2 linked regions of the Caenorhabditis elegans genome follow. The protein of the gene in region 2 interacts with the protein of the main gene of each other region in a pairwise test. Each region holds a gene or a part of one and is shown on either strand. Other genes may lie near its edges. The genes, in order: brc-1 and K07F5.14.

What was found.
Region 1: the proteins of K07F5.14 (region 2) and brc-1 interact in a two-hybrid assay, tested with the Caenorhabditis elegans proteins (one large-scale study listed by BioGRID).

Annotation. Positions count from the first base shown.
Region 1 is NC_003281.10:3,859,793-3,864,750, reverse strand, and holds the start of brc-1 (Breast cancer type 1 susceptibility protein homolog), read left to right. Parts: upstream 1-1,792; coding exon 1,793-1,863; intron 1,864-1,916; coding exon 1,917-2,262; intron 2,263-2,718; coding exon 2,719-2,947; intron 2,948-2,996; coding exon 2,997-3,070; intron 3,071-3,132; coding exon 3,133-3,471; intron 3,472-4,958. Other genes in the region: acs-19 (Acetyl-coenzyme A synthetase), read right to left, coding at 1-136, 187-246. UniProt on the Caenorhabditis elegans protein: E3 ubiquitin-protein ligase that specifically mediates the formation of polyubiquitin chains and plays a central role in DNA repair.
Region 2 is NC_003282.8:9,860,251-9,864,577, reverse strand, and holds K07F5.14 (NUC153 domain-containing protein), read right to left. Parts: upstream 2,358-4,327; 5' UTR 2,355-2,357; coding exon 2,130-2,354; intron 2,016-2,129; coding exon 1,907-2,015; intron 1,855-1,906; coding exon 1,361-1,854; intron 1,312-1,360; coding exon 988-1,311; intron 703-987; coding exon 586-702; 3' UTR 511-585; downstream 1-510. Other genes in the region: K07F5.16 (J domain-containing protein), read right to left, coding at 1-90, 153-254, 303-383; npp-1 (Nucleoporin Nup54 alpha-helical domain-containing protein), read right to left, coding at 2,833-3,042, 3,090-3,287, 3,338-3,516, 3,611-4,004, 4,055-4,234, 4,291-4,327.

The sequences.
Region 1 (4,958 bases), on a different chromosome or scaffold from region 2:
GTTCGAAATGGAGTTCAGATGAGACGGTACGCCAGAACTCGTCAGCATCGTTGATCGAGGAACGGTACAAATCGTGGTAAGATTGAAGGCCAGCACAGTGAGCACCGGCAAGGAGTGGGGCTGGAGGGAGGAAAATCTGAAATCTATTGGTTTTAAAAGTATTCTTTCGAAGAAATAAATTCTTACATCCTCGTCGAGACCTTCTCCATCGTTGGCTAGGTTGAACTTGACGCGAACGTCCGACATGATGAGATGCAATAACCTGAAAATGAGGCACTTTATGATAAGAAAATGCGGTAAAACATGCGAAATATGGCACCATAAACCGTGAGCAGGACAAAGAACAAACACTTGGAAAAGAAAAGAAAATAGAAAGAAAAAAAGGAAAACTGGAGAAAACAAACTCAATAACACAACGCGAGAAATACAATTTCGTTTCGTTTTTTCTTCTATTTATTAGATTTCTCACAATTTGTTACCAGTAAAGTCACGTTCTATATTTCAAACTACTCCTAAAATTCGGTTTGAACAGTTCTCTGATAAACGAATTTCGAAGAACGATCAGAAAACAAATCTACGGTTGTGTGTGATCAATGGGGTCAAACGGTGGACGAAAGGGGACGGCGGAGAGAGGAAAAAGTGAGAGAAAATAAATAAAATTGACCTTCGAGTGCAGAGTTTTGCTGGTATTTTGGTCAGAATTGATTATGAAAATCTGAAAATTACCGCCGGGAAAGTTGAAAATTTGACGTGGAAACGTTTAAAAAAATAAGATGAGAAAGTTAGTACTGTAGATGTCGTCGGATCAAGTGCACAGTACGCAAGCACCGTTACGAAAAATTGCACTAATTGCTCAATTAAATTTTTTTAAAAAATTAATTTTTATAGTGTGTTTTGTGTTTTTTTTCTGCTTTTTTAATGATTTTTAAAGGCTTGATTATGTTTTTTTCTCAAAATTTGAATAATCAATAACATTAATTAATTACTTTATTAAAAAACCACATTTGGCATTTTAATAAAGCAAGTTATCGCGACAAACGGCAAAAATGTCTCTTTTTATAAAAATTGTTTTTTTTTGAGTTAAGAGAAGATGTGGAGTTTTTTGAACTACATTAGTTTTCTAAAAATTTTATCATCTAGATTTTGAGGAAAAAAGCAGATTATATATCTTTAATCTTGGTTTTAAAATTTTTTTAAAAAGCAGAATATTAAAGTAAAATATTATAAAAAGAAAAATTCGTGTTTGCAAAATTTGTTTGAACGGAACCTTGCAAAAATGATATTTAGCAGCTAAACTAACTGAAAACTACTGCATAAAGCTTTCCCAAAAAGAGCTACCATCCAGAAAATGTTTTTTTTTTCAAAGCCGAAAAAGAAGAAAAAAAGATAGAAAACCGAAAAAGCAGCATCGTTTTCGCGCACTCTTTCTTCTTTTTTTCTTTCTTTTTCTAAAAAAAAATATTCTCCGTAGCTTGAAGTCTCAGGATTTCCAAAGGGAATTTCCTTGATAGAATATGGAAAAACAAGAGAGTCATCAGAGAAGGGAGAGGAAAAGCGGGGATGCTGGCGAAGACCGGGGGCACCGACTGAAATATAGGCACCGGCGGGGAGGCGGGGCGCTCTCTCCTCTCCGCTTTACTCCGCCCCGATTGTCAGTGGAGCAGGTTTGCAATGAGTGTTCTCTGATGCCCCCTCAGCGCGGGAGTTTTGAAATCAAATATTTTGTATTTTAACCTACTTTATTGATTTTTCAATTAAAATGAAATGTTATTTGTTTAAAATTTAATTTCAGATGGCAGATGTTGCACTGAGGATCACAGAAACAGTGGCACGACTGCAAAAAGAACTGAAATGTGGAATTTGGTAATTTATTTTCAAAAAATCAACAAAAAAACCTTAAATTGGTTTTTTTTCAGCTGTTCAACATACAAAGATCCAATTCTGTCCACATGTTTCCATATTTTCTGTCGTTCTTGCATTAACGCTTGCTTCGAACGAAAACGAAAAGTTCAATGCCCAATTTGTAGAAGTGTACTGGATAAGCGAAGTTGTCGAGATACTTATCAAATTACAATGGCTGTGCAGAACTATTTAAAGCTATCAGAAGCATTTAAAAAAGATATTGAGAATATGAATACGTTCAAGTCACTGCCGCCAGAGAAAATGTTCATGGAAAGTCAAATGCCGCTGGATATCACGATTATTCCAGAGAATGATGGAAAACGATGCGCTCCAGATTTTGCTATACCTTTTTTGCCAGTGGTATGCTTTTTGGCACAAAAAACCAATTAAAACCAAAAGAAAATCACTAAAAATATTTCTAAAATGTCAAATAAAAACATTTTTCACCTTTTTTTGTGTCGTATAGCGATTAAATCAATTTTTAATAATTTTATTACACACTTTTTTCATCGATTTGCTAATTTCTGACTGAAAATCATAGCGGACTGCGAAAAAATTTCGTCAAAAACACGAAAAAAGCAGAAAAGAAATATTTTTTACTTTTTTTTTGTTTGGAAAACTGGACTCTATAGTTACATTTTCTAGTGTATTTTTTTGGGAAAAAAAATTAAAAATGCAATACAAATTGCTAATTAGCTAAATAGTTGAAAAATTTTGAGTTTTTGCATAATTTAGTCCGTTTTTCGAAGTTATCATTAAAAAATTCGGCCTTTTTGGGCTATTTTGACTCTATTAACATTAAATCTGTATTTTCAGCGCCGAAAGCGACCGAGTCGACCACAACCGCCGAGCGCATTCGCCGAGGAGCCTGCAGAACCGGTAGAACCGCCAGAACCAGCCACAAAACAACCTGTAGAGCTCCAAAGTCGAGTATTCCCGCTGGAAAAATTGAAAAAAGACGTGGAAACCTCTACAGAAACGTATAAAATATCAAGAGAAGAACTGAAAAATGTTGATATTGAAGAATACATAAATACCCTCCGAGGTTGGTCAAAAATCAAAAAAAAATTCGCTAATTTTTGCCAATTTTCCAGAAAATTCGACAGAGATTGATGAAATCGATGCACTTTTCCAATTAATGCCGACGATGCGACAATTTCTTCGAAATGTTTGTGATGATTCGGGCTTATTTAGAGGAAAATAATTTTTGAAATAAAATATTTTTTGCAGAATATCAATCAGCTAATGGAGAAATTCCATGTGGCGCCACCGAAAAAATCAGAGAAACCAGCGAATCGAAGAGTATCCTTTGCGAGTTCTCAAGATCTTGAAAACATAAAAATTATGACAGCTTCTGAATCGCTGGAAACTCCTCCTGAGCCAATCCAAAAACTAGCCCAAAAGCCTGAAGTTTTCAAAAGTACTCAAAATTTGATCGATTTGAATCTAAATACTGCAGTGAAAAAGCCAGTGGTCGTAGCATCAGATGATGATGAAGTTGTAGAAGATTCTGAAGGAGAACTACAAATTGATGAAGATGATCTGGCAAATGTTACCTGTGCTACAAGTGTAAGAAATATAGGAAAATCATTGTGTGCAGAATATATCAGGGGTGTGCGGCAAATTTGCCGAATTTGTCGTTTGCCGAGCTCGGCAAATTTCAAAAAAGTTGATTTGCCGAATTTGCCGAGCTCGGCAAATTTCGAAATTTGCCGCACACGTCAAAAATTTGACAGTACAATTTCGACTAAAACTACTGATTTTTTCGCCAAAAATTCAGTAAAATGACACAAAATTGAGTTATTTTGATGCTTAAGCAGACATACTACACGGAACTGATTCCGAAGCCAGATGTGTGTTAAGAATTCGGTAGTTTTGGTGGTCCAAAAACATCAAAAAATATCAAAAATTTCCGAGTTTGTTAAGCACGGCAAATTTGCCGAATTTGCCGAATTAGCCGAGCTCGGCAAATTTGCCGAATTTGCCGTGCTCGGCAAATATTGAACAAAGAGATTTGCCGAATTTGCCGAGCTCGGCAAATTTTGCGATTTGCCGCACACCCCTGGAATATATGGTTTTCAACAGAAAAATTCAATTTTAATTTTAAAAAAAGTTGAATTGTTTTATAAAAAAGTGCTGAACCCGAAAAAAAAACATAATTTTGAGAAAATGCAAATATTTTTTCATTCAAAATTTCCATTTTTGTTATAATTTCGAGCATAACTTTAAAGAAAAAATTTGAAAATAAATTTTTAAGCAATTTTTTTTTAAATATCAGGTTGTCCCATAAGTTTTTGTACTTTTTTTCAAATATTTTTCCAAAACTTCTAGAAAGTTTTAAAATTTTTTCATCGTAGGTCGTGTCAAGGTCGGGTCGTCCCCTTTCAGAAAAGATTCATTTCATCCATTTCTACTTTGCCACGATGACAATCATCAAACTTGAACGTCGAGACGTTAGATTGCTTCTTCTTTATGAATTTCGTCTTGGTCATTCAGCAATGGAAGCGGAACGAAACATATGCGGTGCGATGGGTGAGGGAGCACTCTCTTATAATACAGCAAAGAGTTGGTTTCAAAAGTTCAAGAACGGCGACTTCAGTCTCGAAGAAATAGAACGTTCTGGGCGACCGGTAGAGTTAAATGAAGAAGACCTAGTGAAGCTGGTGGAGGAAGAGCCTCGTCTTAGTCTTCGTGAAATGGAAGAGAAGCTTGAGTGTTGTCATAGCACAATTGCACGTCACTTGGGTCGCCTTGGTTTTACTTCAAAACTTGGAATTTGGGTGCCTCATGAACTTTCGGCATCACAGAAGCTCACTCGGGTCAACGTTTGTACTCAACTTCTAACTTTTCGTCGAAAGTTCGATTGGCTGAACAATCTGGTTACTGGAGATGAGAAGTGGGTGCTCTATGTTAACCATTCCAGAAAACGTCAATGGCTTCCGATCGGTGAGAAAGGAATACCGACGCCAAAGCCTGATCTTCACCCAAAAAAGATTATGATCTGTGTCTGGTGGGGTGTTCAAGGACCCGTGCACTGGGAATTGTTGCCAACTAAT
Region 2 (4,327 bases):
GTCTTCAAAAGAAACTGGAAACGGGGAATGAAGCCACGAATCGTAAGTTTTTCGACGAGAATCACTCGTTAAAATAGAATATGCATTCTGAAGAGGTAACAACAATTATTGTGCGTTTTATTGATATTAATTTATTTTATTAAACTTCCCTGTAGCTCCATGAATTTTTCAGTCGAATTCGTGTTGTGCTCCTTCACTTTATCCGGATGGCAGTCGCGAACCCGTGCCCGATATTCGGCAGTTATTTGATCTATCTGAATATAACTTAAATTATGAAAATATTATTTTAAAGTTTAACCTACCGAAGAGCTTTCATCACACCCAAGCAATCGATAGAGCTTTGGCTCTTTTGGTTTTGCATCCAAAACATCCGAAAATGACATTACGCTGAAGAATTCTGAAATATTATGATAGTTTAACAAAAATTATCATAAAAAATGTAAAAGGTATTCTCATCGGAAATTAAACCAGAGTAAGTTTTCAAAAAAATCAAAACATTTGAAAATATGTATTTACTATAACAAACATTTGAAAATCAACAAAAACAACAACGAACAATTGAATAACTATTAGATCTTGAACATTTCACGCAGTCTCAGGAGCATCTTCGTTTCCTGTATCAGCTTTCCGTTTTCGTTTTCCATTTGTGAAAAATGAATCTTTCTGCTTTTTTACTGCATCACGACGTTGTTTCTTCCAGAGCTAAAAAATGTATGAATAATTTATATTGGAAGAAGAAAGAAAAATCGATTAATAATGACACTTTTCCGCAAAAAGATTGAGAATGAGATTGTGTATGCGTAACGAGAATCAGACAGTTAGGGAAAATTTTGTTATTTATTAAGATGGTGGACTTATTTGATCATACTGGAAATTGGTATAACTTTCTGAATCAAAACAATTTGAAATCTTTTTTGTATTAAGACTCGCTTGAAATAATAAAACAGAGCTCAATAGTCGGTCAGGCTCAAAAAAAAAACTACTCACCTTGAAAATAGCATCTCGATGAGGTGCCCATTTATCAATAACTTTCTCCACTGTTTGAGTTCTTCTGAAATTAGCCGCTAAACTTTTGATTTTTTCATCCGACAGAGGATCGACGAAAAACTTTGTGCTAACTTTCACTTTGAGTAGAGATTTTTCGATTTTGTCAACATTTCCAGACGGTTCGGCTTTACTTTGTGTTGGTTCTATTTTCTTTAAATTTTCTCCATCATCTTCAACTGCTTCGTCATCATATTTTCTTCCAATCATTGATAAAAAAGAGAAACCTCCAGTTGACGGATCATCACCATCTTTTCGTTCTTTCATCTGAAAATAATTTTTGTGTGAAAAATGTTTTTTTTTGTTGAAAACTCACTTCAGCTGAAAACGCGTCATCCATTTTGAAAAAGATTTCAGCTTTCTCAAAGCTCTCATCACCGCTTTCCTCGTCTTTTTCAACGACTTCTTCCTTTTTCTTTTCAGTTGAATCTTCGTCTCCTTCGTCACTTCCATTCCCATCTTCGTCCGAATTTGTACTTTCTTCAGTTTTCTTGACTTTTTGTGGATTTTTCGAAGCTTCAAAAGCTTTCATCCATTCCAAATGCTCAGGATTTTCAGGATCGAAACGAGTGAATGGTCGAGCTTTAAGTGTTGAAGACTCTATAGTATTTGGTTTTTTCTCTTCGACACTTTTTCCTAGAATTTTAGACAAAAGTTCTCGATTTTTATCTTTTTCTAATTTCATTTCTTGCTTTTCCGAGCTCTGCTCCATATTTCCATCTTCATCAGAATCACTTTCTGCAAACTTGTCGTCCAATTTGAATCGGGGATCACTATTGAAACGTGATTCTAGGTGCATCAGCTTTTCGCCTAAAAATTGAAAAATAGTTTTGGTTTAATTTATTTTAATTTTAGACAATACCTTTAGGACCAGAGTGTCTATTTTTGATTTCAAAATCTTCCTCCTCATCTTTATCGTTTTCATCTTCAGAATCGAAGAGTTTTGGACGTTTTGAACTGCGCGAGGTTTTCTGAATTATTCCAACTTAGTTTACGAGTATTGTCTTTACAGCAAACAACTTTATGAAATCGGGCAATTGCTGTTATAAGAGATTTTTATCTCAAAAAATTGAAAAACTTCCAACCTTTTCACCATTCGCGGCTGTTTTTTCTGTTTCTTCATCCTGATCATCCCCATCATCCGAATCTTCAAATACAATGCGTTTTGTCGTTTTTTTGTCAACATTAGCAATGTCAGCAGCAATTTGACGATCTCTTTCTCTCTGATCTTGAATTTTTTGCCTCATCGCGGCTCGACGAGCTTCATCTGAACGTTGACGTCTCTTTTCATCATTGTCTTCATCGTCCATTTTCTGAGATACATTTTGCAATAGTTTTTATGTGATTCTAATTATTTGAAAATCGCAGAAATTCGAACGGGAGACAACCGTTATTTGACAAAACTCAAACAGAAAAATGGAGATCAAATTTATTCTAGATAGAAGTTTGAGATGAATTAATTCAATCTATTAAACAGTGTGTGAAATAAGACAATTAACAATTTGAGGAGGTCAGATCAACAGTTACAACCAAGAATGAGGCATATTTTATGAAAAAATGTACTCGTGATGACAGGCGAACATAGAAAAAAGCGAGCTTTTTTGCTCAATATGTATAAGTTTTAAAAACAATTTTCTGCCACACATCTTAGGTCGAAACAGAAATAACCAGAAACCTGTCAGAGTTTGAAAGAAAATAATGATGATACAAAAGAAATGAGCGAATTTTTAAATTAATACGAGAAAATCTGAAAAAAAGATTTTCAGAAAATCTTTTCTAAAAAATAAATTATCCTTCTAGAGCCCTTCTACAAGCTTCAAGACTTTCGATTTGTTGATGTGTTGACTCGTAAAGGCCAGAGCAAATATTAACAAATTTGGTAAGCACTCTACGAGCATAGTGTTCATCTTCAATTGTCATATCAAACATTTTCCACATTGATTCTTGAAGTTTATCCGGTTTTGATTCCAAAATCTCGTAGAATTTGTCGACATAAAACTGAAATTAATTGTTTTATACAAAATTAAATCATAATTTTTTCTCACCTTCACTTGATTATGACGATTCATTTGGGCAAGAAGTGTATCAGCTTTAGCTTCAATTACATCCTCATCAGTGTCAATTTGACGTGAATATCTTGATACAATCCATTGTGCAAGCATAACACGAACAATTCTGTACGAGAGAGTTTTATGGCGATTACGAATAATCTCCATCTTAACAACTGCATCTGCATGTTCATGCTGAAATATGTATGACATTTGTAAACTTTCATCAAGTTATAACAACTTACATTAGCTTCTTCAACACGATTTCCCAATGCATTAATTGCCTCGTGGAATAGTTTCGACTCGCCAACTTGAGCCTTCTGTCTGTCTCTTAATGCTTCCCATCCACGTACTGGAACAGGAAGAAGTTTGTTTGGAGCTGGGTTTTCTTTGATTGCTTGTCTCCAAATACGCTCATCGATTCCTGAAATGAATGAAATTTGATACAATGCGAGGGAGGAAAACGAAAATCTTTGTTAATAAATGATAAACATAGTAAAAATAACGAGTAAACTAACCATCAGGAACTGTCTCCAAATATCTATCTCTTTGTGCTTTCGACATTCCAACTTTAGGAAGAACCCTTGTTTTATCCACTTGCAACTGCGATTCTAATTGGGTCATTTTTGGAGCATCATTGAGGATTTGAGCAAGTTTAATAGCTCCTGCAACAAATCCGCCTTCTTTGGCGATAATACAGATTTCTGTGCATCCATCAGAAAGTGTTCTCATCGAAGTACCAGGAGCATATCGAACTTCTACATTTGGTCCGCCACCAAGAATAGCTTTGATAATTTCAAGAATTTTGTCACGGCGTTCTTCTGTGTTCAAGTTTGTAATAGGATGACGCAGCACCAAAGTTACAAATCCCTCATCGTCGGTTCGCTCCGAAATACGATTGTATCCGATTCCCTGAAACGTGACACTGTGCAAGTTTTCAGTGATTTATAAAATAAACTTACAACAAATCGTTCAAACAAGTTTCCTTCCATTGAAAACGATAGAAGCTGATTTCCATCTTTGTATGGAGCTTTTCCGACACCCAAACCGGCAGCAACTTGATTCAACTTAGCAACAACTCCATCATTATCATTTCCAAAGAGCTTTGGATCTCCGACAGCTTTCACAAATGGGTGATACTGCTGAAAAAATTTTATTTGGAAAAGCGCTCAGATATTCTTAAGATTCATTTAATTACCTGAATAACTTGTTGCTGCTGAACAACAGGCTGTTGT